Lonchura striata: one gene and its partners. The main gene of each other region encodes a partner of the protein of the gene in region 3 in a complex. Links are inferred from orthologs where the notes say so. Each region holds a gene or a part of one and is shown on either strand. Other genes may lie near its edges.

What was found.
Region 1: CNOT2 (region 3) and CNOT9 share a complex: the UniProt entries of both Homo sapiens proteins name them as parts of the CCR4-NOT complex. The link is inferred for Lonchura striata from reciprocal best matches to the Homo sapiens genes CNOT2 and CNOT9.
Region 2: CNOT2 (region 3) and CNOT6 share a complex: the UniProt entries of both Homo sapiens proteins name them as parts of the CCR4-NOT complex. The link is inferred for Lonchura striata from reciprocal best matches to the Homo sapiens genes CNOT2 and CNOT6.
Region 4: CNOT2 (region 3) and CNOT11 share a complex: the UniProt entries of both Homo sapiens proteins name them as parts of the CCR4-NOT complex. The link is inferred for Lonchura striata from reciprocal best matches to the Homo sapiens genes CNOT2 and CNOT11.

The regions. Positions count from the first base shown.
Region 1 is NC_134610.1:15,626,865-15,634,521, reverse strand, and holds the start of CNOT9 (CCR4-NOT transcription complex subunit 9), read right to left. Parts: upstream 3,004-7,657; 5' UTR 2,928-3,003; coding exon 2,904-2,927; intron 1-2,903. Other genes in the region: USP37 (ubiquitin carboxyl-terminal hydrolase 37), read left to right, coding at 4,120-4,275, 7,049-7,220. UniProt on the Homo sapiens protein: Component of the CCR4-NOT complex which is one of the major cellular mRNA deadenylases and is linked to various cellular processes including bulk mRNA degradation, miRNA-mediated repression, translational repression during translational initiation and general transcription regulation.
Region 2 is NC_134617.1:7,163,093-7,170,320, forward strand, and holds the start of CNOT6 (CCR4-NOT transcription complex subunit 6), read right to left. Parts: upstream 3,019-7,228; 5' UTR 2,763-3,018; intron 917-2,762; 5' UTR 540-916; intron 1-539. UniProt on the Homo sapiens protein: Poly(A) nuclease with 3'-5' RNase activity.
Region 3 is NC_134607.1:44,843,646-44,850,478, forward strand, and holds the start of CNOT2 (CCR4-NOT transcription complex subunit 2), read left to right. Parts: upstream 1-3,833; 5' UTR 3,834-3,963; intron 3,964-4,514; exon of another isoform or gene 4,515-4,568; intron 4,569-6,833. UniProt on the Homo sapiens protein: Component of the CCR4-NOT complex which is one of the major cellular mRNA deadenylases and is linked to various cellular processes including bulk mRNA degradation, miRNA-mediated repression, translational repression during translational initiation and general transcription regulation.
Region 4 is NC_134604.1:87,469,770-87,477,265, reverse strand, and holds the start of CNOT11 (CCR4-NOT transcription complex subunit 11), read right to left. Parts: upstream 3,004-7,496; coding exon 2,598-3,003; intron 1,390-2,597; coding exon 1,225-1,389; intron 1-1,224. UniProt on the Homo sapiens protein: Component of the CCR4-NOT complex which is one of the major cellular mRNA deadenylases and is linked to various cellular processes including bulk mRNA degradation, miRNA-mediated repression, translational repression during translational initiation and general transcription regulation.

The DNA of each region.
Region 1 (7,657 bases), on a different chromosome or scaffold from region 3:
CATCCACCTCCATTGTATTATTTAACGTAAATGTTCATACGTAAACCAATGTGGTGTTATCAGTCCCTCTATTCTAGGGCTCAAATACTTTTTTAGCTGTTCATATTTCCTCCTGTCCTCTTTTCTCTCACTGTCATGGCTTAAGAATGGTATTCTCCAATTTAGTATTCCCACTGAAACCATTCCAAACCACTTGCCACTCACTCCCTCTCTCTTTCCAGTCCCAGTCCCCCTGCTCCAAGATGGAAAGGGGAATGGGGGCACAAAAGGTAAATATCACAGGTTGAGATAGCAACAATTTACTGGGAACAGCAATGACATAAGAAAACTAACTAATATTAGTGACAGAGGGTACAAGAAAAGAAAAGTTACTGCTCACCCCACAGAATTCCCCCTACAATACCAACTGCTTCCTGGGCCATGCAGCCCCAAGCTCAAATCAAGTCCTTTCTCCCTCTCTGAAAAATGATGTGAGGTGGTTCAGAATAAACTCTGGAGCCTAGCTATGCTTCTTCCCATCTAATGCAAAAAATAACTCTGTTCTGGGCATAACCAGAACCAGGACACTCACCTACTCAATTTCTAATTTTTTTTCCCCAAAATCTCAAACTAAATTAATGATCCTGCCAAGTTTCTTGTGCCCCTACAATTGTGACTGCAATTGCAATGCTAACTTCTACACTGAAGCTCAAAAAGAGAGGGAGAATGAACAGAGCTCATTTGTTTTTATGTGGGATGGTGGATTGACAAGCACTGTAGCAATAATGTTGTTATAATTGTGTTATCTAAAGCTTCCATCTATTTTTCTAGACTCACTGGAAGTTTCAGTTCCTGTAAGCTTAAATACATCGACCCCTTAAAAGCACAATCATGTGCTTGTGATCCCTAGAGAACACTAAGTAGATTTTCCACACAAGTTTATGATGTCCAATATATGCCTTAGCCAGAACAAATTGCTTTTCATAGGCCCTACAGTTGCTCTTTTTGTTTTAGTTTATATGGACTTTTTTTCTTCCCCCTAATTCCCTATTTCATTATTGTTTCTTCTTCTCCCTCTAAGACCCAAAATTCTGGGGAACCCTGAAAGCCACACAGATCTTCCAAGCTCCAGGACAGAACCCCACCAGGTAGACTTTCTTTTGCACACAGGGAAAACAAAACTTATAAACAGTATTAGATCAGAAAAAAATCTTGTAACATCTTTTCTCCTTCTTGGAGAAAAGACATCTCTAATGCTGACATAACAAATTGATTTACACAAAAGGCTTTCTCCTCCTAATTGAGCAGCTGCTGCTAGGCACAGTGGTAAAAGTCCTGCTGAGCCAAAGTCTAAGCTCACTGACTGTGGTAGGAAACATTTCAATACAGAACTACCAGTTAGCATAAACTATGCATAAATTAAATATACATTCAAGTGAGTCCTAAAATAAAGTTGCTCTCTATTCTGAAATTTTTTTTTTGTTAAAATTGTCTTTAAAAAGGAGAGGTAACTAGACACAGGATTAATGGGAGATATGCCTAATGGGAGTCCTTCATGCATTTTAACAAACACTAAAGAATTACAGTGCTATAAAAATGTAAACGCTGATTAAGAAAGTTTACCTGATCTGGCACACCCTTCCATGTTCTGGAGAACAGTACTTAAAATCAGAAGTATTTGACAGCACTCCAAGAACTAGTTAAAGTCATAAGCATTTAAACAGAGGAGAAATGTAAAAAGTTCTTTAACTCCTGTTCATCAAAACTTTACTTACTCATTAGCTTGGCAGTCCAACCAGACCCTCGATCTAAGTTCATGTGAAACAGCTCTATCTGCTGGCTTTGCATTACACCTCCCACACTCAGTACACACAAGACTCAATCAGCTCTAGGAAGTCTTTCACATGCCATGAACGAGCATTTGGAGAAGAAAAAACCAAAACACAAACCCAATCACGTGGGAGATACAAAGCAATAACCACATCCTTCAAACTCCGCTTCCATTTTTGAACCCACCCAGGCCAAGGTACTGTTCCAGTCCTGCCAGCCCGAGCATCAGGCACCGTATCCAGCCATGGCAGGTTCCTGAGGAGGAAGAGGGCAAGCACCAGCTGTGGCCGGTGCTGCACTGCCACGGGACAAAGGGAAGCAGGAGCAGGCAGCACCTGCTGCCATGAGGGGCTTTTCACCGTCTACTCTTTCTCTCTGCAGTCAAGGCCAGCAGTAAAACAGCTCCCCAGAAGGCAGAGGAGGTGGCTGGGCACGCAGGAGGTGTTGCAGATAAGTGTTTTAAGGCCACTTAAAGAAAATGTACTCTGAATATTTTGCTTCAGCGGGAGGGTCTTCCTTATCCCTTCTTGTCCTACCTTCTCCTGTCCTTACCATTTTCTTCCCTGCTCTTCCCCCTCCACACACTCAGCGGATAATAATTTTTTGGATTTATTTTGGCTGTAGATTAATCCGTTTTAGACTTTCGTCTGCTTTTCTTCGATGTGCTTCTTTAAAAGTAGAGCAAACCCTACCAACAAAATTTGTCACGCTTCTGCTTTTGTATCAAACGTGCTTTTGCCGACACCTTTGCTAGTGGTTCTCTAAGGAACCCCAAAGCCCTGACTCGCTGCAGGAGGCAGCGCGGCAGGCAGGGGGAAGGGGGAACGCCATACGTGAGGCACACGAGGCACAGCCGGCTCACCCAGCGGCAGCGAAACCTCCGGGCCCCGGACGAGCCCCGCACGGAGCAGCCGGAGCTCGGCAGCTGCCGAACGGACCGCGCCAGTGACGCCGCGGGCGCGGAGCTCACCGGGGCTCCGCCACCGCACGGCCTCAAGCTCCCCCCGCGCCGCAAGCAGCCGCGCTCCCGCTCCCCGCACGGTCCGCGCAACGCGGCCCCATCCCCGACACGGTCCCGTGGGCGGTCGGCTCACCGCGGCCGTGGCCAGGCTGTGCATGGTGGCCGGTGGGAGCGGAGCCGCCTCACGCTGCCGCCGCCATGGGCTCGGCGCCGCCGCCGCCCCTCCCCGGCCGCGCGGGGCACGCCGGGACGGGCCCGGGCGGGGCCGGCGCCTGCGCGCGGGGCGGGCGCGCGCGGGGCGCGCCGGGAAGGCGCTGCCGCGCTGACGTGAGCGGGCGCGCGTTGCGCGCGGTCTCGCGCTGTGCGGCCGGTTCCCGCCATCCGCCGCCCCTTCCCCCGCCCCCCCCGGGCCTCGCCCCGGGCCCCGCGGGACGCGCCGGGACGCGCCGGGACGCAGGTACCGGGCACCGCAGGTACCGGGCAGCGCCGCCACCGCGCAGCGCCGCCGCCGACTCCTACCCGCTCCCGCCGGCCGTCCGCCCCTCCCGCCGCGCGGTCACCGCCTGCCCTCCGAGCGGCCCGGCCCGGGGCGGGCGGCGCTGCCGCGCTCACCGTGTGTGTGAGCGGCGGAAGCGGAGCGCGGCCAGGCCCGGGAGGAGCCGGGACACCGCCGGGTCGGGCGGGGAGCGGCGGCGGCTGAGCGCGGGATGGCCGGGGGAGGCTCCCCGGCAGCGCCGCCCGGGCTGCGCGCAGGGGCCGCTCCATTCATTCCCGCCGGGATCTGTCGGGAACGCGCCTCGCCGTGCTCTCCGGAACGCAGCCGGGGCTCTGTCGCCCCGGGCTCGTGGCTTTCCGCGCGGGGAGCAGCGGGGGAAGCCGGAGACCTCCGTCCCGGCCCTGCCAGGTGGCCGCGGGTCCCGCGCCGTCAGGAACGAGCTCGTTTTCTTAATCTGGAGTCCTCCTCCAAAACTCTGTTTCCCATCTCTTGCTATCTTTCCTCAGGCGCTTTTTTTCCCTCCCTTACCTTAAATCCGGTGAAGTTAAGGGATTTTAAGGACTTTTGTGTCTGGAATTCTGTCTGCTCACCTTTCAGCAGTAAGGAGTCGGTGCACTGCTGTTCATACTGGGAGAGATTTTATTAATCTGAGTTTTCTACAGTGCCGTCCCGCTCTTCCTCACTGCGTTTAAAATCAGTGAAACGGTTCTACCAAACTTCTACGGAATGTTCAAGCCATGCTTCCATCTTCCTTTAGCCATTATTTGGCCCACAAAGTTATACATTTCTCCTTTTTAACAGGTTTTTAAGGTGGAGCACACTTACTGTTGTTAGCTCTTTTCTGTGAGAAAGCATGGCTCTGTTAAAGGTGCACGGACCTGTCCGGATGCGCAGCATGCAGACTGGGATTACGAAATGGAAAGAAGGGAGCTTTGAAATTGTGGAGAAGGACAACAAAGTGAATCTAGTAGTTCACTACAATGTTGGAGGAATTCCAACCACGTTTCAGGTATGCCAGACATTAAGGCTTTTGTTTTAACAGTGCATGGATTGTGCTCTCTTGTGAACAGCTGTCCTCTTCAAGGCTATTAAGTGTCCTGCAGACTTCCCTCTGTCACTGTTTCTTGTTCCTCGTTTCCTGAACACTAATCCCTTTGTATAACTCTCCAGTAAATTATTTACACGTATTGTTAAAGGCTCTACCAAGGTTGGCATTGAGATACCACTGAATGGGAAGGACCAAAAAAGCAGAAAAAAGTTACAGAAGTATAGAGCATCGTGGTTCACATTTCAGATTTTTGGATCCTGTGACCTTTCTCTTACTGGCACATTTGCATTCTCTAGAGAAGATCCTGACCATTTTATATTAGCTGTTTCCCCAGCTGAGGTGTAATGATGTTAATACACCTAATGTTCAGACTTTGCTGAACATTACTTGTTATGGCTGTTGTAGGTTTTTAATGCAGATGTAGATCACTGTTAAAAATACTCTTGAAATATTCAGCTAAATTTTTTCTCATTCTATAGTTGTTTTCAGGTCAGTCTTCCTAGATTTTGTGCAAAATGCCCCAAATCAAAAGCAGAGTGATTTTTCTATAAGAAACACATACCTGTTTTAAAAATATGTAATTGACATAAGAGCAGTTGGAGGAAAAAAAGATCCCAGTTTGTTTAGCAACTTTGCAATGGCCTAAAGTGATCTATATGTTGGCTTCTGCTTTTTCACACCACTCTTGTTTTTTGTCAGTAATGTTCACCAGGCTGTTCTCTGAGCCATTTATTTCTGTGTGTGCAGATGCTATGAAAAAAAAAAGTTAATTTCTTTTTGAAAAGTTAGTTTTTTGCTGCCTTAGTGTCCTTAAAAGTCTCAGCCAAGAGTCTGGCAGCTGGTGTTGCCTGGAAATCAAGGCTGTCAGGAAATCATTAGCTATGATTGCTCCCACCTGTGTTACTGCAGACTTGCAAAGAGTCTCTGCCTTCTCAGGTGTGCTGCTGTGGCTGCAGGTTTCGTTTAATCCACTGTTGGACCATGTTGCTCCTGAGGAGAGCAGTTTTGTCTTCCCCTTGTGCATTCCCTGGGTGCCTGTTCTCACACACTCCTTTCTGCCTGATGAGTGATGTGGTGTGACAGCAACTCACAGGGAGGTTCCACAGGGAGGATGAGCCTACAGAACAGCTAACCATGGCCTAAAGGGGCAGGTTTTCTTCCCAGCCTCTCATGTCTGCTGTCTCTGTCACTTGTCAGATCTCTTTGTGAGCTCAGTGGAGGGTTTTCACAGAAATTTGGGGAAAGGACTGAATGCAGGATCTAGCAGACAGGGTGATAAGCAACCATGCACCTGAGACTGCAGCAAAGGAGGAGGAGGAGGCTTGTGCTGAAGGGTAGTTTGTGTGAGACATCCCCAGGCTGTTGGCATGCCACTTCAGGTGTGACAAATTCCTGATGATCTTGCTGTAGAAGTAGCATTCCCTGTTTTTTTGACGAGCTGCTCTGAGAGGACTGTGAGTGAGCTTCCTGCCTGTTTTTAGTTTTCTGTAATGGAAGGTTTGGATGGAGCCGATATTATGTTTCTTTCTACGGTGACTAGTGTGCCATCGAATTTATTCTGTTAAATGATGTCTTGGAGATGTTTCAGAGCTTTAACTAAGTTGTCCTAGGTAGTATTAAGAGAATTACTTTGTTTCCCCACACCTGCCGAAACTATGGATGGAGTCCTCTGACAGCATTTTGAGTTGAAATGGGTTGTTTTGCTCTGAGATGGTGAAATAATTGTAATCCCTTTGCACTGGACTCAAGTGTTTCAACAGCATGGAAAACTTGGAGCCTATTATTCAATTCTTAGGTCTTTGAAGGTATTTTTAGCTTATATTTTTAAAAAATCCCAACAAAAAAGCCAAACCCAAAATACAAGGATTGAGCACAATGTGTTTCAGAAGTGTAATGCTCACATTAAAACAAACCCATAGTTACTGATCAAGGTGGTTTTTCAGCCCCTCTTACAAGCTGCTGTTGTGTCTAGATTGGTTTTCCAAGAAGCTAGAGATCTAAATTGAAAAAAAAAAAAATCTTGTTCTTGGGCATGAAGTGTCTTTTACTATCTCAGTCTTTTTGAGCTGCCCTCCACTTGCACGAGTAGTAGAACTTTACCCAACAGCCAGTTTTTGTAGGTGACTTAGCATGAAACACAAGTAAGGTTATTATATTACAAAATAGCAGTGGCATCATTAGGAAGCACAAAGTCTTATTAAAATTATTTTTGTGCTCAACCATAACCCTGAAGGTTTTGTCATCACTTAATTGTTAAGATGTTGCATACAGAGTAAGCATGTTTCTTACTGACTTACCTCCTCAGCAGATTTTTTTAAATCTGTCTTCTTTGGGAGCAAATTGTGAAGTGAAATATTTGTGTTTAATACTTGAAACTTTCCCCATCCTAAATTGTATTTTGCTCTTGATGTGGAGGTTTTTACCAATTGGGACTTCGTGAAGTTGTTTTTCCTTTACACTTACAGATGTTACACTGAGTAGAAAAGCAAGTTTCAGAAAGCTTATCTCTAGAGACTGTTAAGCAATAGTGACACTGTCCTTACAGTTCTGTCAGATGCCAAGGTCACAGATTGTATTAATTTTATGAGGTTTAATGTTTCCTTGAAGTGGAGCAAGGAGAAGTATTTTGGTGGGAGTCTCTTATCCTGTCTATTTGAAATCTTTTGTTTGAATTTGTAAGTATTTTGGGCTTTTAAGGGTGGATTTATGCTTATAGTCACTTTCTTGTTTTCAGTTAAGCCATAACATTAAAACAGTGACCTTACGACCAAATGGCAGAAAACTGTGCTGCCTGATGCTAACACTAAAGGATACCAGCTTTCTGACAATTGATAAGGTACCTTTTAAAGATGCAAATGAAATGCGGATGTATTTGGATGCAGTCCATCAAGACAAGGTTCATACTGGTAAGTGCAATTGTTGTAAGTCATGTTATAACATTATGGAGAGGTGTTGTGTTCTCTTTTTCCCATCTTATCGTGGTTTAACCATATCCAACAACAGCTAAGCCCCAAGCATCTGCTCACTCAGTCTTCCTAGTGGGGTAGGGAATAAAATGAGAAAGTGAAAATGAGGAAACTTGTGGGCAGGCACAAAGACAGTTTAGTAAGTGAAGCGAGAGCTGTGCACGCAAGCAAACAAATGAGGAATTCACTCACCACTCCCTGTGGGCAAGCAAGTGTTCAGCCATCTCCAAGAAAGCAGTACTCTACCTGTGTCATGGTGACTTGAGAAGACAAACACCATCACTGTGCCTCCCTCACTTCTTCCCCAGCTTTATGCACTGACCATGATGCCACACGGTGTGGGATATCCCTGTGGTCATTTGGGGTCAGCTGTCCTG
Region 2 (7,228 bases), on a different chromosome or scaffold from region 3:
CTAGCATCTTTGCCTAATGTGGCCCTGTTTGAGACTGGGATATAATGCTCAGACTGCACATACACAAGCATACAGCCAAAAGGATGTGACAAAAACAGATAATAATTTAAAATTCAACAGTCTGTTAGCAAACAGAACCAGGGCCTCTGCAACACGGACTGCACAAGTGGATGGAAGAATTCTGGTTCACCACATGGACTCCTGGCACAGTGGTGAGCCAAACAGCATGGCACAATGTGCTACGGACACTCATATTTAAGATTTTTGGTAACAGAGTAACAGAACCCTTTTTGTTTATACAGCCACATTTTCAAATATGGATTCTTTTGTTCATATGTTGGGAAAGAATTTTTAGTTTGCTCAGTCTTGGAACCATTTTGAAGACAGTGGTTTCTACCACAAACATTGCACTTGGTTAAAAGAATGTCTTCCTAATATCTAGTACAGCCCTATCTTGAAAAGGTACCATGCTCATTCAATTTGTGACCCTTCATAACATGTTTTCAAGTCTTCATGTATAAAATGTCAAATGCATTTACCTGCCCCTGCAGTACTACAGTTTCATCTATCTTTATATTTCAATTCTTCCTCTAAAATTCAAGCACAGTAAACATCCTGAACATGAGACTGCATTCAGAGTTCAACTTCAGAATGCAAACAGAAAAGAGATGCATGGTAGGATCCTTTTTAAACATGGGCTGATCCAAACGATTCAGGTGAAAAGTGAACAAAGAGTTAATCCAAATGCGAAGGGCTCCATTTCAGTAATAGCACGAATAAACCCCCACAGAAGGCTTCATTGCTAGCAGCAAACTCCACAGAGTCCAGATGAACCAGCAGGAAGAACAGAGGGCAGATAATCCTGTAAAATTACCCCAGTGGAAATGTTGATAAATTCCCAATTATGAGACCTGCTCTAGAATGAAAAGAAATGAGAGATACAATACAATTACCAGTCAACACTTGCACATCTTTGTGTTTAAGCCAGACAAATACCACAGGTATTTCTTAATCCCTTGGATTTTGAATTAGTTACCCACTGTGCCGAAATCTAGATTATGAAAATAAGCCCCAGAAATCAAATGAAAAAACAGGCAATCTGCAACTCTAGTTACAAAGGAAATACCCATCCATGAAGTCCTATTTTCAGTGATGCAATTTTCTATGCGTTTGTGGAAATACAGATGGCTGTATTAAAATACAAACAAACAAAAAAACAAAACAAAAAGAAAAAAAACACCAAGAAAAATCTTTAGCATACTGCATTTGTTTTGAATATAGTTCTTACATGACATAAAGCAAAGCAGCACAGAATCAGGTTGGAGAAGACTTCTAAGATCATCGAGTCCAACCTAGGACTATAACCTAGTAGGTTTCATATGAATTTTTAATGTTTGTGGAAAAAATGCTGATAAAATATGTGTTCACCATAGAGACTAAGACACAGACAGGTGCATTTGATATCTCCTTTTCTAAAGCCTTGTCTGATCCCAGGCTTATCGCTCTCCATAAAATTCTGGAGGAGGAAAGGCTGTCCTGTGAGCCCCAAGACGGACCGGGGGGTGCAGGAGCTGCCCACCGCCCGCTCGATGCGGTTCGCAGGCGGCCCAGGCGCTCATTCCCCACGGCCTAGCAGAGGCAGTGACTCCGCTGGGGCCCCGCCCGGTTACGGAACGCCGGCCGGGCCGCCGCGATCCCGATCCTGATCCCGATCCCGGCCCGGGCGCCGCCGCCCCCGCCCCAATTCCCTCTGTTTATCCCTGCACGCGCCCGTCCCGCGGCCGCGCGCGCCCGCCCCCCGCGCCTCCCCATTGGCCGCCGCCGCTGTCACTCACGGCCCCCGCGGCCCCGCATTGGCCGCCGCCGCTGCCACTCAGGGCCCCCGCCCGCCCCGCCGCTCCCTCCGCCGGAACGAGCGAGCGGCGCTCCGGCCCCGGCGCCAGCGCGGCCGCGGCTCCCGCTGCCGGCGGGGCGGGGAGGGACGCGAGGGAGGGCGGGCGGCCGCCGCGGCTCCTTCCGGAGCAGGCGAAGCGCTCCGCTGACAGGCAGCGCTGCCGCCCCTCGCTGCGCGCCCAGCCAGGCGGATCGGCCTCCGGGGAGGCAGCGGCGCGGGGCGCCGTGCGTGCAGGGTGGACGGGCAGTTCCCCCGATTGGTGTCATTTCCCTCGGCCTTTTGTTTAATTATTTTAAACTCAATTGCACGGTGAGGGAAAAAAACAAAAAAACCCAAAAAACCAACAAAACCTACCAGCACCAATAATAACAACAACAACAACAACAAAAAAAACAACTTCAGGCTTCCAGATGCCATTATACTAATTTCTCTTAATTGCCTCTCCGATGCAAACAGAGCCGGGCTCCTGCGCGGCGCCGCCCGGCCCGGCCCGGCTCCCTCCCGGGCTCCGTCCTGCCTCCCGCTCGGCGGTGGGCGCTCGGGGGCTCGGCCCGGGGCTGCGGAGCCCTCTCCGCGCCGCCCCCGCTTCGAGAGCCGCCGTTCCTCGCCGCCTCCCCGGCCGCGGAGCCTCCTCCGGGCGTCCTCGCAGCAGCGGCTGCCCAGGCCCAGCACACCCCCGGCCCCCCCCACGCCCAGAGGGGCCCCCCGACACCCCCGAACGACGCGGCGCGGGGGCTTCTCCCCGCCGAGCCCGGGGGTCCCCCCTCGCCGTGCTGCCGCCGGTCCCCCCCCAGCGCACTCCTCCCGCAGCGCTGCCCCCCCCGGGCAGAGCCCCCCGCTCCGGGCCGGGCGCCGGGGCCGCCCCTACCTGTGGCTGCAGCATCCCCGTCCCCCCGCCGCCCTCGCTCCGCCGCCTGCCTGGCTCTTTGTTTCCTGCCGCGGGCCGGACGGGAGAGCGGCTCCCCCCCGCCTCCTCCTCACACTCATTGAAAGCAAACAAGCATCATGGCGGCGCTGGCGGCGGCGGCGGCTGCGGGCGGGCCGGCCCCCCTCCTCCGCCTCCTCCTCCTCCTTCCTCTCCTCCTCCTCCGCTCCGCTCCGCTCCGCTCTCCGCCCCACCTGCCCAGCCGCCCGCACTGCGCGCACGCTCCGCGCGGCGGGGCCGGGGGCCGCGGGGGGATGCGAGGGAGGAGTTGGGAGCGCGTTCGGGGTACGGCCGCACGAACGCGGCGGGGGGAAAAGTGGGTGAAAGTAACGACTGGGCTGCGGAGGAAGGCTCGAAAGCCGAGCAAGTGGTGCATGGCAGGGAAGGGGCTCCTAGCAGCAGCCCAAGGAAGGCGAATTGGAGTAATCATTTGTTTGGGAAAGAACTTTTAAATTCTCCTGCAAAAGCCCAAGTGGGGAACTCAGCCTTGAAGTGGATGAGCTCAGACACGGTGCAGGTGATAGGCCAAACGCTTTTCAGGAAAGACAACATGTCTTCTATGTTTGCGTGTTTAATGGGAAACCAGTACCTCGGATCCTTCGCTGTGACACACTCAGGAACAATGTTTACGGTGAAATGTCCCCCAGAATCGCCAGCAGCACCTTTTTGAAACTCGGGTTGCGGCTCACGTTATTTTTCTCCATGAACTGATTATTGGATGCAAACCAAGATATTTAGAAAAATAAAGTACATTCTCATTAAGTGTTATTATTACTGTCCCTGCACAACAGGATTTTATGATGAGGGATGCCAAGTGAAGTGATGGTGGGGAAGTGCCATCCCTGGTGTAATAGTAGCAAAACACCTAAATAATGACTTCCAAATTAAGGATTTCATCAGTTTCTCAGAGAGTTAAAATGCTGAAACATTGATGATGCTGCAGCAAATGAGCACTTGGTACACACCCCTTCATCCAAAGGAATAGTGAAGACAAAGACACTCCCAGACACCCATAACTGTCCCAGAACCCTGTTTATGATCTAGGAAAGCTGAATAGGAATTGAGGCCTCTATTTAGGTATAACTAGATATGTAGCTGAAAATAAATGGCACTCACACTCACACTGTTGTGCAGCAAGGCATTCTCTTTTAACTCAATGTGAAAGAGGATGGTACCAGGTCCAGCTTCTGAGGAACACCACCCCCATCCGTGGAGGCCACTGCTTTGGAAAACATGACCGTGGCATGCTGCTGACCAAACCTGCTCACAGAAAGTCCTCCACGGAAAGGTTGACACTTGGTTGGAAACAATCCTGCTAGACTTCAGATTTCTGTTCAGCCTTATCATATCATATATCTGAAATGCTCTTGGATGATAAACTATCTCCTCTCCACATGGTGCAGTCCTGTGCTAAGATACCCGAGCCTGCTCCATTACGGATGCGCACGGGCTCTGGCAGAATGCCCTATCTGCTTCCCCGTGTTGGCTGGCTCTGGAGAGCTGACAGTCATTCAGAACTGACTCGAGCAGCTCTACATGTCATTCTCCTGCACTGCATGTCTTTTCTTTCTGATAAGCAGCTGTCCTGCACATTCTTCAGTTAATACTTTCTGGGTCAGATATGGCCTCAATAGACTATATCATTTTGCCCAGAGCAAATTCTCCAAAAGCAGTAGGAATGTCTTTGAATACGTTGCAGGATTTTCCAGGAATTGCTACTCAGCAAAGAAAATTCAGTTGATCATAAGTCTCTCAAAAAATGCTTGCAGGGAACCTTCATTCCTCAGGGATGGGTGCTGGGGTAAAAGTACATTAAACATGGAAAGGTCTACTGACAAAGGCCTGCAACACTGCAAGTGGAGAACCAATGGCAGAAAATACTGTAATTCTCAAATACCTGAGATAAGCAAATGAGAACATCGGAGAGAATAATTTAAAAGCAATTAAAAATTATTCTGTATAGATTAACAGGAGATCACAGCAATTTGGCAGATTTCAAGTTAGTGAGCTTTATTATGATTTTACAGGTTATTTATAAAAAAATCAGCAATATTTGAAAAGCCTAAAATTACAGCCTTTTATGTCAACAATGTTTTTTAACCGCCAGCTTGTGTGGTTTGAAAGAGCAGAATGAAGTAAAAACAGGTATGTGGGGGTTTTTTTAGAAACTGTTATGTTCCACTGAATTTCCTGTCAGCAGTGCTATTGCTCATCTGTGCGTCTGATTAACTTTTGCTCCCTGAAAGTGTTATCAGACCTGTAACCAGGCAAACAGCAGAGCAGATGGCCAGTGCCAGTATCGGTGTTTCTGGTCTGGGTGCTTAATGAGATCTGAGAGTGTAACATGAGCCTCTTTCATTTTGTCTGTCTCACATGGCAGATATACTTGGTGCAAGTGCTCTGGTTGCTCAAGGTCACAGATTCATCAATCAAGAGAGATCCCTTCCCTAAATTAATCTTTTACCTGCCCATGACAGTTCCATACATCTCAGGAGCTGCCAAGTCACACTGAGTGCTGTTGTCCTGAGTTTGGGACAGTAGTGCTGCAAAAGAGAGCCAGGTTAAGCAGAAATTGCCCACTGTTTAAAACACAATGTTAGATGTACTGTACTCTGAGAGTAAATTTTCACTCATTAACTCTAAACCAAAAATGCCTTTTTGTGCTGTGAAATAAGCCTTCAGCTGGCCTAAATCTCCCATCCCACACAATTGCCTGTACCACACTATGAAGGTGAATGTCCCACAACATTTCTCACCTTACGCTTAGAAGTATTTGCTATGAGTGGTTTAAAAAAATCTCAATAACGCCCCCAACCTCCTGTCTGAATGCACGTGTCCGAGGCTGGAGCTGGGAGTGTGCCTGGGAGGCCTCAGGGAGGCCACTGGGTCCATTTGACCAAGGCTTACAGCTGGTTCGAGGTCCTGGTGCCTCTGTGCACTGACAGAGGGATGTGAAACTTGTGGTGGAGAGTTGTCTCTGTGGCGGAGCAATGGTACATTTTTGCTTTATTTAAATTGCTAAATTTGGTGAAGATGTACTCTTGAAGTATCTGTATCCAGTTGCACAGTAGAGGCTTGTTTGACTTCTAAGTTCTTTGTAGTAAAGGATGTCCTTCATCCTGCATGGCTCACGCATCAGCCCATCCTGTGGGAGAGCAGGCACAGAGGGGTTGTGGCTTGTGGGATCTCTTGTGTCTGGGGTTACAGAAGGGGTGACCAAGGAAAGGTCCTACCCACTCCCTCACTTTCTGTGCCCAGGAAATGTGACAAAAGCAACGTAACTGGAGGCAGGAAAGGAATCGGGGAGGAGAGCACAGTTTTGGTAAAGCAGGGGAGATAATGAGGAGGAAAGGTGTAACTGGGAGATGGAATGGGATCCCAAATAGGAGGGCAGAGCCTAATAATGGTCTGCATTTTCAGTGTGTGTGGGTATAAATACAGGAATCTGAACTGCAGGATGGCTTCCATGGCTGTTGAGATCAATGGGATAGCTGCTCTGAACATGGCATATGCCTAAAATGACAGGTAATCTGAAAAATGAGGACTTAGAGCACTCATATTGTGCTTCTGAAATCATTGCATTTTTAATGATTTCAGCCTTAAGTTTTATGGCCTGTTCTCCATCTACCGAGTGAATATAAGAGCATCTTCTTTCACAGCTGGATAGTAAAGATAAATCTTTGATGTTTATTGAGCATTAGAACTACAGTGAAAGCTCTATACAAAAAGCATTGAGGCAATTAATATTCCTGCTTTTCTCTGCATGGAATGGAGTTCAGTGGTTTCCAGAAGACCTGTATGTAAAAAGGTAATTGAAATCTCCCCTTATGCATATCCACAACAGAGATGAATTCAGGAATTTTAATCCTGGGATGGCACAATTTGTAGGTAAGGCTTTGCAGCCTTAGAATTACTTTATTATGCATTGTTAGACAAAAGTGGAATAAGTAGTTTGAAAGAAACTGAATATGATCAAAAGCTTTCCTTCTAGAAATATCTGTGTTTTAGTAGGAAGACTTCCACAGTGAGAGAAGAGTTTCTAACTCCTTTTTGTCAGTTATGAATACTATTATACATCTCTGCCACCACCTGAGATACTTGTGTACTGTGTTTAGATGACTCTCAGAATTATTTAGATATTTGATAAACTGTCAGGATTGCAGCAGTTTAAAATGTACATTGAATCTTGTTCTCTAGCTCAAGCATGCAGGTCTGTGGAGCATTGAGTCATTAATACTTCCTAGTGTGCACATTTGTGCTATACTGTAGCAGTGACGTAACAGATCTAAGAATGCTATAATTCTTACTTGTCCTAATCAAATATTAAAATCTGAAGGCTGTTGAGAAGCATGATGTTGTTTACCTCATTGTCATTTTTTAGACACAGGCTGATTCTTGCATGTTTTTAT
Region 3 (6,833 bases):
CATTTTAACGCTAAAATAGTAATTGAGCTGCACTTCTAGGGCTTCCCTTGCCAGCAGCCATCCCTGGAAATCCCCTGTAGGAGTGAAAGGATAGATAAGGACAGTGCCATGGAAACAGCTGATCCTTCCCCTACCTTTCTTAAATGCACTAGCAACTGGAGACTAACTTGCAAAAGTCAAACTATCTAACCAAATCTGCACAAATCTAAATATTTTGTGCTCAATTTCAGTGTAATAGTTAAGAACTACAAGTAAATACACTAAGAAAATGTGAGGTCTCAGTGCTTTTGTTCTTGGGAAAAAAAAAGTGTTGTCAACACCTCTCTAATCTCTAATAATAGATTAATTAATAGATAATCTCTAATATTAGATTTGGTGTACATTTTGACATACCTTTATCCTCCTGTTATAGAAATATTTGAAAAATCAAATAGGCTGTACTAATGAAAAAAATCTGCCACGTTCTTCTAGGCCACAGATTAATGCAGTGCAGTGCTGTAACCCTACAACCTTCCAAATAAAGCAATGGAGGCACTTTTGAACATCATTAAGTAAGAAATAGATTAGGGAGAAGCTGCAGAAAACAGAAACCTCTGTCTTCTCCTGAAGCAGTATTTCACTGTTTTAGCTGATCAAATGCACTTTGCAATTCAAGCTGTTTCTTCCAAGGGACTTAATCCATAATCTGGGAAAGAAAAATACAACCTTGTTTCACCACTGCTGAAAAGCTGCCAACTCTTGCTCCAGGTGATTGCACTGTATTTGTTTTTCCTGAAAACTCTGGTGACAATACATAGGTGGGAGAAAAACTGCATTTCAATTAACATTTTTGTTCTATTTAAAAATTGCTTATAGGGTTGCTAATTCACCATGTTCTGCCTCCACTCTTAAGTGAGGATGGTCGTCTTACTATGACTAATTTAATTTCACGTTTTGGTGAAGTGGAACAGCCTAACCCTGCCCTACACATACTCTGGGTAATTTCTCCCACTTCTGCACCTGCATTGCCCACATCTGTTGGTGATACTTTGAGTCACGGAGTGTTGATGAACTCTCTGGAGCTAAGCATTTGGGGATTCAAAGCACACCTGACTCTTTTGATGACCTCTTCCCAAACTTTCCAGCCAAGTGCTGTTGGTTTTTAGCCTTCTGTAGGTACTAGCAGAAGCATTAGCCAGTGAAGTCCAAACGGATGGTAGGCAAGTGTTGGGAGTGCTTCAGAACACATGCTTTCAGGGCCCAGCTTTCAAGAACATTAGGTAGAAGGCTGTGTCAATGGCAACACATGGATTGTTGACTGCAGGGGCCTGCACACATGATCACATGCAGGACAGGTTTCTGTAATCATGCTTTGTAGTTCCTTCACCTGTGCTGCTATAGACAAAAGTTTTCAGATTGACTCCTACAGGCATTCTTACACTGATTGAAGATGGATGTGTATCAACCTAGTCTGTGGAATAAGTAAATAGTAAGAGACCATTGATTAAATGAGAATAAAAATAACAGATGCATATCAGTTTGTAGACAAAGACCTAAAGAATGAGGTAAAACTCTACCATACATGGTTCAAAATGGATTAGGACTGTCCACACAAATTATCAGTCCTCGTGTTAGTTGCGTTCAGGGCACTTCTTTAATTAAGCAGATGCAACTATGGGAAACAGACCTCACCTTTGTAACAAAATGTATTGAGTCAAGACTAAAAGCAGCAAAGGTATGAGCACATACTTGACAATACACCTTCTTTACTGGTAGCCTTGGACGTTATTTTAACACATCAAAACACTAAATGCTTTCACTTTCTTTAAGAAAACAAAAGAGGAAGTAGAATACACAGCTACTACAGCTTGAGTAATGAACTTCCTCAACTAAACACAGAGTTAAGCAGAAGGACAGGTTAGATTTTTTTCAGTTAACAGAATTTTAATCACAATTTACACATATTGTGAGTGCAGGTTGGGTTGTTTATACTAAACTAACCAGTCTAACACAAGATAACACACTTTTTTCCCCATTACTAGCTCTGTTGAGCTAGTCAAGCTTCTTGTCCTATAAATGCTAATTGATTTGTATGTAAAGTGTTACTTTGCAATGAACAGAGAGATCAGCCCATGTACATGCAATGACAATATCAGGTTCTTAGTTTACTTACAGCATATTGTTTGGTATTGTCTTAATGACTTCTCTTTGGGAAAATTGAAGGAAAATTAGCTTTTAAAAAAGAAAGTCAGACCAGTGAAGAAGTGTGAAATGAAATATAATGAAGCAAGATGTTTATAATCAGATATAAAAGAATCAGACTATATAAACACTAATAACACTGAAGGTTAATAACACTGATTGTATTTTTCAGTATAAAAGTACTGCTTTTGTATTTGATTTGTGGTAAGAGGAAATTTTTGATTTTTCAGACTGAACAACAAAAGTGGTCCAGAAGTTCATACTATAAACAGCATGTCACTTTTGGTACTTTCTAATGGTTTGATTCTAGCAAATGCATGAATTTGTCACAAAGGTTTGTGATTGGAATAATAAAATGCAGTGCCTTCCTGGATGGTGTATATACACATCCATTTCAATGACATGGCAGCCATTCTCATCACACAACTAAAGCTGGTGGCAAAAAGAAACTGGTCTCCTGGCTTAAAAGGAAGGCTGCTCTTTTATCTTCAAAATGTATTTATGTTGATAGACATGTTACTGTAGTACCTTTTTCTATAAAATATTAGTGTTGTGTAACCTAATGAGTTCTTCAGTAATTCTAAATTCAATCTGAAGGTTCAAAATCAAACCTGAGAAGAAAGCACACGTGTGAAACTATTGAAAGAAACCTGCTATTGCTGCTCATATCTTTGCTTGAAATTTTAAACTTTATGATGATTTTACAAACTAAGGTGTCAGTGCCATTGTTTTGTTTTGTTTTGTTTTGTTTTGGTTTGGTTTTTTTTGATGGAGCAGAGCACCCAGCTCACAAATGATGTTGGCCATTATCCTGTGAACACTTGTGCAAAGGCTTAGCTTTTTTACCATTGACAGTCTCATTAAATTCAAGGGGATTATTTGCATGAGTGTTTTGTGCATCAGCACTGGCTGTACTGAAGCCACTGCTATAACACACATTTTGTGGGTCGATAAATTAAAAGTCCACTTAGGTCATCTTGTAAATGCTTTTCCTCTTTATTAACACACAAAGTTAATAGCTGGACCTGTCTCTCTACTGCTATCACACTCCAGAGAAAATGGGAACTTTGACACAATTTACCCCATCGTCGGGTCGTTCCTGACCTAGAACCTCCACAGGATGATGCACAGCCTGCGGAGAGGCCAGGCCGCTCCTTCTGCGCTCTGCAACCCAAAGGGAGTTGACAGAGCAGGGCCGTGGAGGATGGGACACCCTCTCTGGAAGCCGGGGCGCTCGCCAAGGGAGCGCGTCCACCCGGGGTAGGTCTCCAGAGGCCCCGGCAGCCCCGGGGAGCACAGCGAGGGGAGGACCGGAGAGCCCCGCTGCGCCCCGACCCTGCTGACCCCCACGCCCCGATCTGGCCCGGCACGCCAGGCCGGCGCCCTCTCCCCTCAGAGAACGGGATCTGGGCCGGGCGCGTCCCCGGCCAGCAGCGTCTCGGCGGGGCCGGCGGGCACCGGCGGCATCCGGCAGCCCCGCGGCCTGCGGGCCCTGCCCCCAGCGCTGGGCCGCGTCTCCCGCGGGAGGCGGAGGGAGCGCAGCCGAGGGAGCCTCGCTGCTCTTCCTCCTCCCCTTCCTCCCGTCCCCCCCAGCCCCTCCGCAGGGCCGAGCCGTTGCGGGCGGTGCAGCGGCGCTGCCCCCGCCCCTCGGCGCCGGCGGCCGGGACGAGCGGCGGCGGGGTCACGGCGGCGGCCGGGTCAGAGGGTAAAGGTTGCTCCCCCAGCATCCTCCGTGCTGGATACTCAGCCATCTTGGATTCGCGGGACAAGAAAATTCATGCGGTGAGTCCGGCCCCGGCCGCCCCTTCCCCGGCCCCGCCGCCGACACGGGCCTCGCCGCCGTCCCGGCCGCGGCCCGATGTGGGAGGCCCGGGCGGCGGCGCGGCCCTCGGCGAGGCTCGGTGGACCTGGGGCCGCCCCGCCGTGTTTCCGTTTGCTTTTGTCTCCGAGGGGGAGCGGGGGGGACGCGCGGCGCCCGAGCCGGGGGCGCAGCCGCAGGCCCGGCCCGGCCCGCCGCCCCCCGCCCTCCTCCGCGGCCGCGGGCGGCGGGACCCCCGGGCGCCGCTGCGGGGACGGGCGAGCCCGCGGCCCGGCTGTGTTTGGGCCCCGCATCCCCGCGGCCGCCGTTGGCAGCTCGCCCTGCGGCCCACTCGGCCCGCCCGACCGGCTTCTTCCCGCCGCCGCCCCGCCGGCTGGTCCCAGGCCTCCTCCGTCCCTCCGAGCCCGGCCCCGCGGGGCTGCGCGGCCGCCCGGCCCCCGCCCGCCGCCTTCCCCGGGCCCGGCGCCGGGGCAGCGGAACCTGCCGCCCACGGCCGGGGCCGCGCTGGCCCCGCGCTCCGCCGAGCGGCCGTGCGGCCTGCGCCGCGGGCCCCGGGCGGAGAAAGGCGGTGAGATGGGGGTGTTGCTGGCTGGCTTTCGGTTGAAAAATTATTTTATTTTCTTTTTTTTTTTTTTACTTTTTTTTTTTTTTTTTTTCTCCTGCGTCTGTTTCACTCTCCTCCTGGTGCAGGTTAAGGCTGTGTGTAAACAGGTTCTGGCTTTCCCTCGGACGTGTTTGTAAAACAAACTTGAAAGGGACAGAGCGCGGGCGCCGGAGGAAGGAACCAGCCTTCCCCTGCCCGCCTGGGCGGCGATGACAAGCTCTGGCGTGAGCCTGACCCGTGCTGGGAGAGGAGGTGGCACAGGGTGACAGGTTAGGGATAAGAGGGGGACAGTAGGGCGGTGGGAAAAGATGCAAGTGTCAGTGTTAGCAGTCTAGTTAGTGTATGTATGCTTCTGGTGAAAACAAGGACCAACTAATGGGTGTTCTTGGTTTTAGGATGGGGTTTTTTTGGTGAAGTTACAAGTAACTTTGTTTTGGAGGCTCTGTAATGTGGGAAAATGAAAATATGTTTGTGTAAGGTGGTATTTGCTTCTGCTGCTTATTCAAATCTAACACAAGCATGTTTAATTTCTGCTGTCTCTTTTATCAGGGAAAAAGTTGTTCCCAACTTTGCAGTGTTTTATCCCCAGGGGAGGATAAGAACTTTCTGTGTATCTTTCATAAACATATATGTGTTTATGTGACTTGAGTGCGTGGAGGAGACACTCCTATGTGCCTGCACAAGCAGCAACATCTGGTGTTGGTGACTGGCTGCTAGTCTTAACTCTTCAGCTGGGGAAGGATAGATTAAGATGATCAAACCTGCTGTCATGCCTGTTATTGGAAAACTTTATCTTTTGGAAAACTTGGATTTGTTTCAGACTTGTGAAGACCTGCAAGAGCAAAGTAATTTTAGAAGTTTATATTGCAAAGGCATCTTCCTTTGGATCTGGAAGAATTGTTGTGTATGTGCTGATGTACTTTAAGTTACCTTATACTGACACATTAATGGAACATAGCTCACAGGATCAAGTTTTGTGAACTTGAACATGATGTATCTGTCCCATGCCTTTTTTTCCCTCTTCTTTTTGCCCCCCAATTCCACTGTTCTTTGTGTTGTGTATTCAGTTGGTATGCTAAACTTCGAGGTGTTGACTGCTTCTGATTTTAGAAAGGGATTTGAATACTCACTTATCAAGAGCTGACTGACTTGACTTGCAAGTGTATTTCCGTTTCATTTTCAGCAATCTGTTGATAAAGCTAAGAGTGTAGTAGTAGATAAACCTTGTCTACATATCTCTTCTAGAAACTTAATACTGCTGTCAAGGTAGTCATTGTTATTGCAATCTATTTGTGTGTCAGTTCTATCAAGAAATGAAAGAAAAGCCCTTGGCTAAAAACTGAAAATAAAGAAACCCCAGAAATTTATATCAAAAAAACAGATTTGAATTTTCTTTAACAGAATCCAGTTCTAGTAATTGTCATTTAGTGGAAAAAAATAGGACACTTGGTGTGTTCTGAAGTTTGATGCTAAAAAATTGTTTGATGCTAAGAAGTGGCTGTTTCCACCTGAAAATCTTGGTCTTTACCTTAGTAGCTTCATATGAAAATTCTATGTGCCTGCAGTGGACCTTTAGATCTCAGAAAGTATTTCTGTTTAATTTTTTAATATTTCTAAATGCATTTCTGTCTGGATAGAGATTAGCTTTGAAATCAGGAACATTATTGCTGTTTTAGCCTCTGTTGTAGCTTTCTTAAAAATTATCCTAATATTCATGTTGATGGAAGGGCTGTTGTGTAGTAATTGCTAAGTAGTAACCTCATTATGGTTTTAAAGGGGCCTTGTATCATAACTTTGTTTATTCAAAAATATCTTCCACCTCCATCCTTTTATGAACTCAAGAAGATAATAGAACTTAAAAACACACCGTATTTCAATTAAAACAGAGGTTTCTATCACCTGGCTTTCTGACTTTATCTGGAAACTAAAAATAAACATTGAATTGCTTGTTTTCCTTTGAGGTAGTATATAAAGTGCACCAAGTACAGAATTTTATTCTAATGGAAGTAGACCCCTGTATCTAACTTTTAAAATTATGTCTTCCCTTAAAGCTATAATTTGCTTGAATAAAAGGCACCTTAAAAATGCGTTATCAAAAAGGAAAATTTTTAAATTCTTGGCAGAGTATTTGCCACATTTGTTGTGTGTCTTTATAAATGTTAGCTTAAATAGAAAGCCTTTTACCAGTTTCTATGGAAGTACAGTACCTTAGGAAGTCAAATCAAAATT
Region 4 (7,496 bases), on a different chromosome or scaffold from region 3:
TTATTTCATCTTTAATGAGAACAAACTATTTGGAAGGCAAACACAGTATCAAGGGGAAAACAAATAAAAGCACCTTGAGGTTTCTAAAGGCATCACATATGCCTTGGACTAAAAAAATGACAAATTACCCAAGCAAAATTTTAATTTGCTAATTCGTAGTCTACAAAATACAGACAGGATGAACACAAGAAGGACCAGAAAAGTTTGTTCACAATGGCGTGTTAAGGTGTTCGATTTGCATTTTCAAATTATCCCAGTCTGTAAATAGCAGCTAAGGAGGACCTCACAAGACATAAAGGACAGTATACCACAGCTTTACCAGTCAATGTCAGAGGCCACAGAAAAAAAAAAAATAAAATTACAATACCAAGATAAAACTGCAGGACACAGAAAATATAAATGGATATAAATGGTGCCCAACCTCAGAGCAATAAATCACATTGTACAGACACAGATCTGGAATGGTTAGTTTTCAAGCAAGCAGGTCTACTCCAACATACCAAGGGAAAAAGGATTTTTTTTTTCTGTTTAAACTGGTTCCTTGTTTCCAACAATGTATAATATTTCATCTTCACTCCAAATGTGACATGAACAGTCATGTCCCTCCTGTTCTCCTGTCAAAGGATAAGCATCACATTGCTTTTCTTTTCAATCTAGTAAAACTGGATTCCAACTCTTGAGCTAACACTGCAAGGCCTAACTTTGCAGTAAACCGAAGATATAATTGTAATAGTCAATTTTCCAGGTACAGCTGAAGTACTGGTATGTAATAGCATGACAGTTATGCTTGTTCTGTCATAATAGAAATACTGCAGAGGGTGAAAAGGGATGAAAATACAAAAAAACCCCACACAAACAACTAAAACAAAGCAAAAAAAAAAACCACTAAAAACGTCCCACCCTGAAAAACTCATCCCCCCCCCCAAAAAAAAAAAACACTCCTCATAGCTTTAGATTGAAATCTTCCTATACTTGCAAAATATTCTTGTATTTAAGGCAATTACATATATGCTTTAAAATTTACTTGTTAAGGAGGATAAAACAGTTAGGATGTAATGTCTGCCTGAAGTTTCTCTAAGTGCTTGAACACAGGCTTGAAGACCCTGAAGCATAGTTCAAACTTGTCCATATTCAGGACAAAAAGGTGTTTCTCAGGTGGCCCACAGTCACATTCCAATGAGACCTTCCATCCCCAAGAGCACCACAGCCACAAACCTTCCTTACCTGCTAATGCCAGCTGCAGCCCACTGATGTCCACCGACTGGGCCATGTTCCCCACATCCATTGCAGCAATCTGCCGAGGAGTCTTCTTGAACAGCTCTCTAGGAGGGGCCAACATCAGTTGTGAAAGAAAGAATTTCTCTGGAGGAGTTATGGGAGGTAAGAAGCCTGTGGAGACACAGTGAAAATCCATGGCTTTTAATGCAGGAGCATTAACAGTTTCTGTGCTCTTCCTGTATAACAAGCAAAACTAAGACAAACTGATCTGTTATTTATGACAAGGTAGGTGCAGCTGGAGAGTGTGTGACACACACAGAACTGTTTTAATGCAAAATACAGCACTACGTGATCAGTATTCTGCATGATGACAGCCACACCTGATGCTCACTCGGGTTCATTCACACAATTTCCAATCCAGACAAAAAGTGAGCTATTAAGTATGACCTGACATTGAAATTCACAGAATCAGAGAATGGCCTGGGTCGGAAAAGACATTAAGGACTATCTAGTTCCCATCCTCTGCCATGAGCAGGGACAGCCATCCCTAGGCCAGGTTGCTCCAAGCTCCATCTAACCTGGCCTTGAACATTACAGGGATGGGGCTTCCACAGCTTCTCTGGGTAGCCTGTTCCAGTGCTCCAGCCCTCTAACCAACTTGGTGGTTCTCTCTGTAGTCTCTCCAACAGGTTATTTTTTTTAGAAACTGCTTTACTCAACACTGGTAGTGTCATATTTACTGAAGAGGAAAAAAGTGTTTCACTCTCATGTATTTCTCTCTAACAGTTTTGTTTCACAGCTTTAAGGCCGTCAGAAGCCTCCTATCACCTCCAGCTTTTTGTGACTGCTTTCTCCCCAAAAAATTCCACGTTATCACAGAATCAATTAGGTTGGAAAAGACCCCCGAGATCATCGAGCCTGACCTATGACTGAACACTGCCATGTCAATTACACCAGGGCACTGAGTGCCACGTCCAGTTTTTCCTTAAACACCTCTAAGGATGGTGACTGCACCACCTCCCTGGACAGACCATTCCAATGTCTAATCACCCTTTCTGTGAAGGACTCCTTAATCCAACGCAAACCTCCCGTGGCTCAGCTTTACACTATGTCCTCTTGTCCTGTCGCTGGTTGCTTGGGAGAAGAGGCCGACCGCCACCTGGCTACAGCCTCCCTCCTTTCAGGCGGTTGTGGAGAGCGGAAAGTGGCCGAGCCTCCTCCTCTCCAAGCTAAACAGCCCCAGCCCCCTCAGGCAGCTGTAGAGAGCTACGAGGTCCAAGCAAGGGCCTGGCCGGCACCAAGCCCCCGCCGGCAGGACTCGCTCTCCCCAGGAGGGTTACAGCGCCGGGCCGCCCCGCTCCCCGCCGGCCGGGACACACCTGAGAGCGGGGTGCGCTCCGCCTCGTCGCCGCCGCGCTCGGGCGCGGGGTTGAGGAGGTGGGCGAAGACGGCGGCGAAGGGGTTGGCGGCGAGGGGCTCGGTGCGGTACATCTCCCAGAGCAGGTAGAGCGCGGTGAGGCGCTGCGCGGGGCTGGGCAGCAGGTCGGGCTGCTGCAGCAGCAGGACGAGCACGGAGCCCAGCCGGAAGTGCTCGGCCTTCCCGAAGTAGTGGTGGAAGGCGCTGGAGAGCCCCTCGAAGGTGCTGCCGCCCGCCTCCTCCGACACGATGCTCAGCAGGCTCGACAGCTCCTTCGGCGACAGGCTCATCCTGCCGCCCGCCGCCGCCTCGCCCGCCTCCGCCGCCGCCTGCGTGCCGGGCGCCGGGCTGCCCCCGCCCCCGGGCATCCGACCGCGACCGCCGCCGCTCCGGGCCCGGCGCTCCCCGCCGGCCGCGCTTTACGGCGCTGCCGCGAAAGGCGCCGGCGGCGTGCCGGGCTGCGGGGCGGCGCGCGCGGCCGGGAGGGCCGGGATTGGTCCGGGCCGCCCGGCGGGGGCGGCCATTGGCCCGGGCGGCGGCTGCGCGCGCTCCCGGCAGGGGCCGGCAGGGGGCGCCCGGCGGCGCGCGACGCTGCCTGCGCTGTCCCCGTGCGTCGCGGCGGGGCCGCGCCATGGCGGCGGGGCCGCGGCGGCGGGGCTGCGCCGGGAGCCCGTGCTGGGAGCCCGTGCTGGGAGCCCGTGCTGGGAGCCCGTGCTGGGAGCCTGCTCTCGGAGCCTACGCCGGGAGCCCGTGCTGGGAGCCCTGCGCCTGGAGCCCGCGCCTCCCGGGCCGGGGCCGCTCCCGGCCGCGGAGGAGCCCCCGCGCCCTGCCCGGCTGCGGGGCCGGGGGTGCTCTCGTGGCCGAGGAACACCTCATGGCCGCAGCACTTACACCGCGGATTGGGCCATTGAAGGGTCCGGAGCACAAGTTGCATGAGGAGCAGCTGAGGCTGCTGGGGTTGTTGAACCGGGAGAAAAGGAGGCTCAGCGGGGATCTTAACACTCTCTACAACATCCTCAAAGGAGGTTGTATCCCGGTGGGGGCCAGGCTCTTCTCTCAGGTAACCGGCGACAGGATGAGAGAACAGAGCATCAAGAGACACCAGGGGAGGTTTAGGTTGGACATTAGGGATTTCTTCACAATAAGGGTGATTTATACATTGGAATGGGCTGCCCAGGGAGGTGGCAGAGTCACTATCCTTGGAAGTATTTAAAGAAAGACTGGATATGGCCCTTAGTGCCCCAGTGTAGTTGATAAGGTGGTGTGCAGTCACAGGTTGATTCAATGATCTCAGAAATCCTTTCAATCTAACTGATTCTGCAGGGCTTATGTTCATCCTTATCTTCCATGGTCCAGTGCAGTTGAGACTATCCACTTTGCTGGTGGGGCTCTCAGCAGAGCTGGAGGGTGGTGGGCTGCAGTAATGTGTGCCTGGGAGTCAGGGATTGAAGCACATCCCTCTGAAGTGTGATGATGTTTCATTGGCTTATCTTGTGGAAGTACATCTTGTGGGACAGCAAGTCACTGGCTTAACCAGAAGTGCTGAGGTCATGGCCTGGAGGAAGGGCTTTCTGTGGAATGTGCTGAGAGGAGAAGACCTTAGGAAGTCCTGAGAACAGGCATTGATTCTTCTAGTAGTAGTATTCCTCCCAACTCACCCAGCCCTAAGGATCTTGGTTTTCCAGACAGCAATACATGTGTAAAAGATGGGATTCAGTTTCTAAAGTAATATAAACTGAAGGCTTGTGTAGATCAAGTAATGCAGGTGTTCTCTATTTCACATTTCTGGTGTGAAAGAAACCCAGATCCCAGAGGTGTAAAGGATTAATGTACATATAGAGTTGGTTAAAAAGGATGGGTCTGTGAGGAAAACAAGGTCTACAGCCAGGCAAGGCAAGATATGAAAGCCTTGCTGACAGAGCAGTTACCAGCGGACTGGATCACAGCGAGAAGTCTGCTTGCAACATATGCTGCTAGAAGAGTAAAGCAGATGGAAGAGGATGCCAGTGAACTCCCTGACCTGGCCAAGGGTATTCAAGGAAACAAAGCATTATTTGGAAGTTTAGGCCAATTTAGAGTTTACTAACAACTGCAACAATTACTTTAATTGTAAGATTTAGGAAGAAGATGAAAGCATTGCAGATAGCTGAGGAAGTAAACTATGTATGTGTGTGGTAGAGCTAGATGGAAAACTTGGGAAAGCAGAGGCCTCAGACCAACCAGCAGGTTTTCTGTTTCTAGTGTGCTGACAAAAGTTGCATTTGTTCATTTTCGGCCTGAAGTTTATGGATAGAAATGATCACATCTAAAATTGTGCCTTATATTGAGGGATGGCTTGCTGGGTGGATTAGCACCCAAACAAACCTTGATGCTTTTGTCCGGGTGATCTTTTTTGTACAGCCTGCTCCTAATAACAAACTCTGCTGAAGACAGCAGAGCTAAAAGAATAAATATGTTTAGAAAGAGAAAGCTGCTTCTTCTTTTCCTGTAGATTTCAGAATCATACTTCGCTCTTTGATGTTGTGCTTACTGGAATAATGGATGCAGAACTGCAGAAATGGACTTTAGAGAAATAAAAACTTTCCTTGATGACTGAGATAGCAAAAAAATTGTATTACTCAAATGTGCTCACTAATGCAGCCATATGGAAGCATTCAATACAAATTAAAAGGTTTTGTCAGAACAGGAAAGCTAACAATTTAGAAGATGGAATTCTTATTAGGAAGTGGGATAGGCACGAGCATCAGTTGACAAAGGGAATTTTGAAGTCACAAAGATTTTAAAACAGATTACCATTTCAGGGTAGGAAAAACCTTAATCCAAAAAAAAAAAAAAAAGCAACAAAAAAAACCCCAAAAACCAAAAAAAAAAAAACACCCATGAGTGTAAAATGGTCTTGGGACAGGAAGTGTAGTAAGTAAAATAGTGTTTCTGTGACTGCACAGGGCACTGTATTTTGCGTACACATGGGTGTATTGGACATCCTTGGGCTCAAAACTTGTGTAACGAAGAAGCGAGAGTGTGTTGTACTAGTGCAGACTCAGATAAAAGAAATTCTTGGCCAGATCTGAAATGGATTGCATTATACTCAGGGAGCAAGGTTGGGACCCCAGTTCCCTTGGTGGGCCAGGGGGATGAGTTCTGCAGGAGATGTCTCAGTGCAACACAGTCTCATGGCATAAAAGGAAGACTTCAGTTTTCTCCCTTTGCAGAACAATGCCTCTGGGTGCAGGCTGAGCATACTCCATTTCTTTTAGATGGCCTGTGGAATAGCTATTAAATGGTCAATATAAGCATAAAATACACCTGTCATTTTTTATGTTTGACTTTAAGGAAGAACCTCAGTAAAAAACATGCTTTGAGGTGCTAGAGAGGAATAAAGAGATTGGGGCTGTACTTAAGTTTCTGATTCTCATGCCCCTTGTGTAACCCTGTTCTGTTGGCTCAAACATGCTAATACATATTAGCCCAGACACAGAGATCCCAGACTAGAAGTGATAAAGGCAATCTAGTTTGGCAGGTTACTCTTTGCAAATACAAATAAAGCTTTACAAAATAATTGGGCTGTTAGAATGCAATTGATGTAGTATTTAAAAGAACATCAGCTTTTGATGACTTGTAATTGTTGCTGGAAAATTAGATTCACAACCAAAGGAGAACAATCAGATTTGATTTCCGGAGCTAAGGGCAAGGCTATGCAATTTAACTGTAGGAGTCCTCTTTCCTTCTTTCCTTCTTAAAATTTATGATATTATTTACTATTGTATTTTTTATTGTTTACTATTGTATTTTAGATGACACATAAGAAACACAGGCTACATTGCAGGTACTATAAAAAAATCCTAATGAGGGATAGATAGAAAAAGACAACATTTGGAAGGAGCAATAAAAGTATTAAAAAACTATCCAGCCAGTATTTTAGCTTCTTCTAGCAAAGAGGCTAAATACTCAGGAAACAACTTCCAACAGCCTATCTTTTATCCCCACAGTTCATTTAGGAGGGACACAGTAGGAAAGAATTAAGTCACACCTTAAAGTCAACGGGTGAATTAAAACTCTTCCAGATTGTTCTGTTTATTCTCATGAGAATTCTCTCTTGTAAACAAATTCCTTTCCATAGTAGTTAAAGTGACCCATCCTGTCTACAGTGTATTTTAAATAGCAGCATATCAGAGAAAGGAAGGAGAATATGCATTCTGTGTACATCTCTTTATGTGTATCTTTCTAGCAACAGTTAAATGTTTTCTTCCTAGTTCATCTTTTCATTTCAAAATATGAGACAGGACCACCAATACGGAAACAGATTTTGTTATTCCTGGAGTAATCAACAATATTGGCATGCTAACAATACCTAAAAGTCTTCCTGAGTAACTGTATGAGAATACATCTTCACTTGTTAACTCTCTTAAGCTGCCAAGGTATCTTGGATACAGCTTGAAAAGCACTTAAGAAACACCAAAAATATCATTGCATTAATGGCTTCATAAGTGCTGAATACTGAGTGGCTTAGAAATAAACATGGTCATTGCTGCAAGTTTTAGTGAGGTCTCTGCATTTTAAGCCACATGTGATCACACCTGTAAATTAATGTTAGTCCACTCTCTTGATTATTTGAGTGTTGGATGCTCCCAGAAGAGACAGAGCTTTGGCCCAATTAGATTTATGGTGAAACTCCAACAGGGACATATTGGCACGTAAAAGCAGCATAAAGTATTGCTATTTGCATATGTGTCTTTGGATAGACTCTTCTTCTGACAAGGAAGCCCTTTCCTGATCACTTAGAAACTCTTTTTCCTTCAAAAACTGTTTGAAGCAAAATAATATTCTCATTTTTCCTTTTTTTATTGCTCTTTTTTTAGAT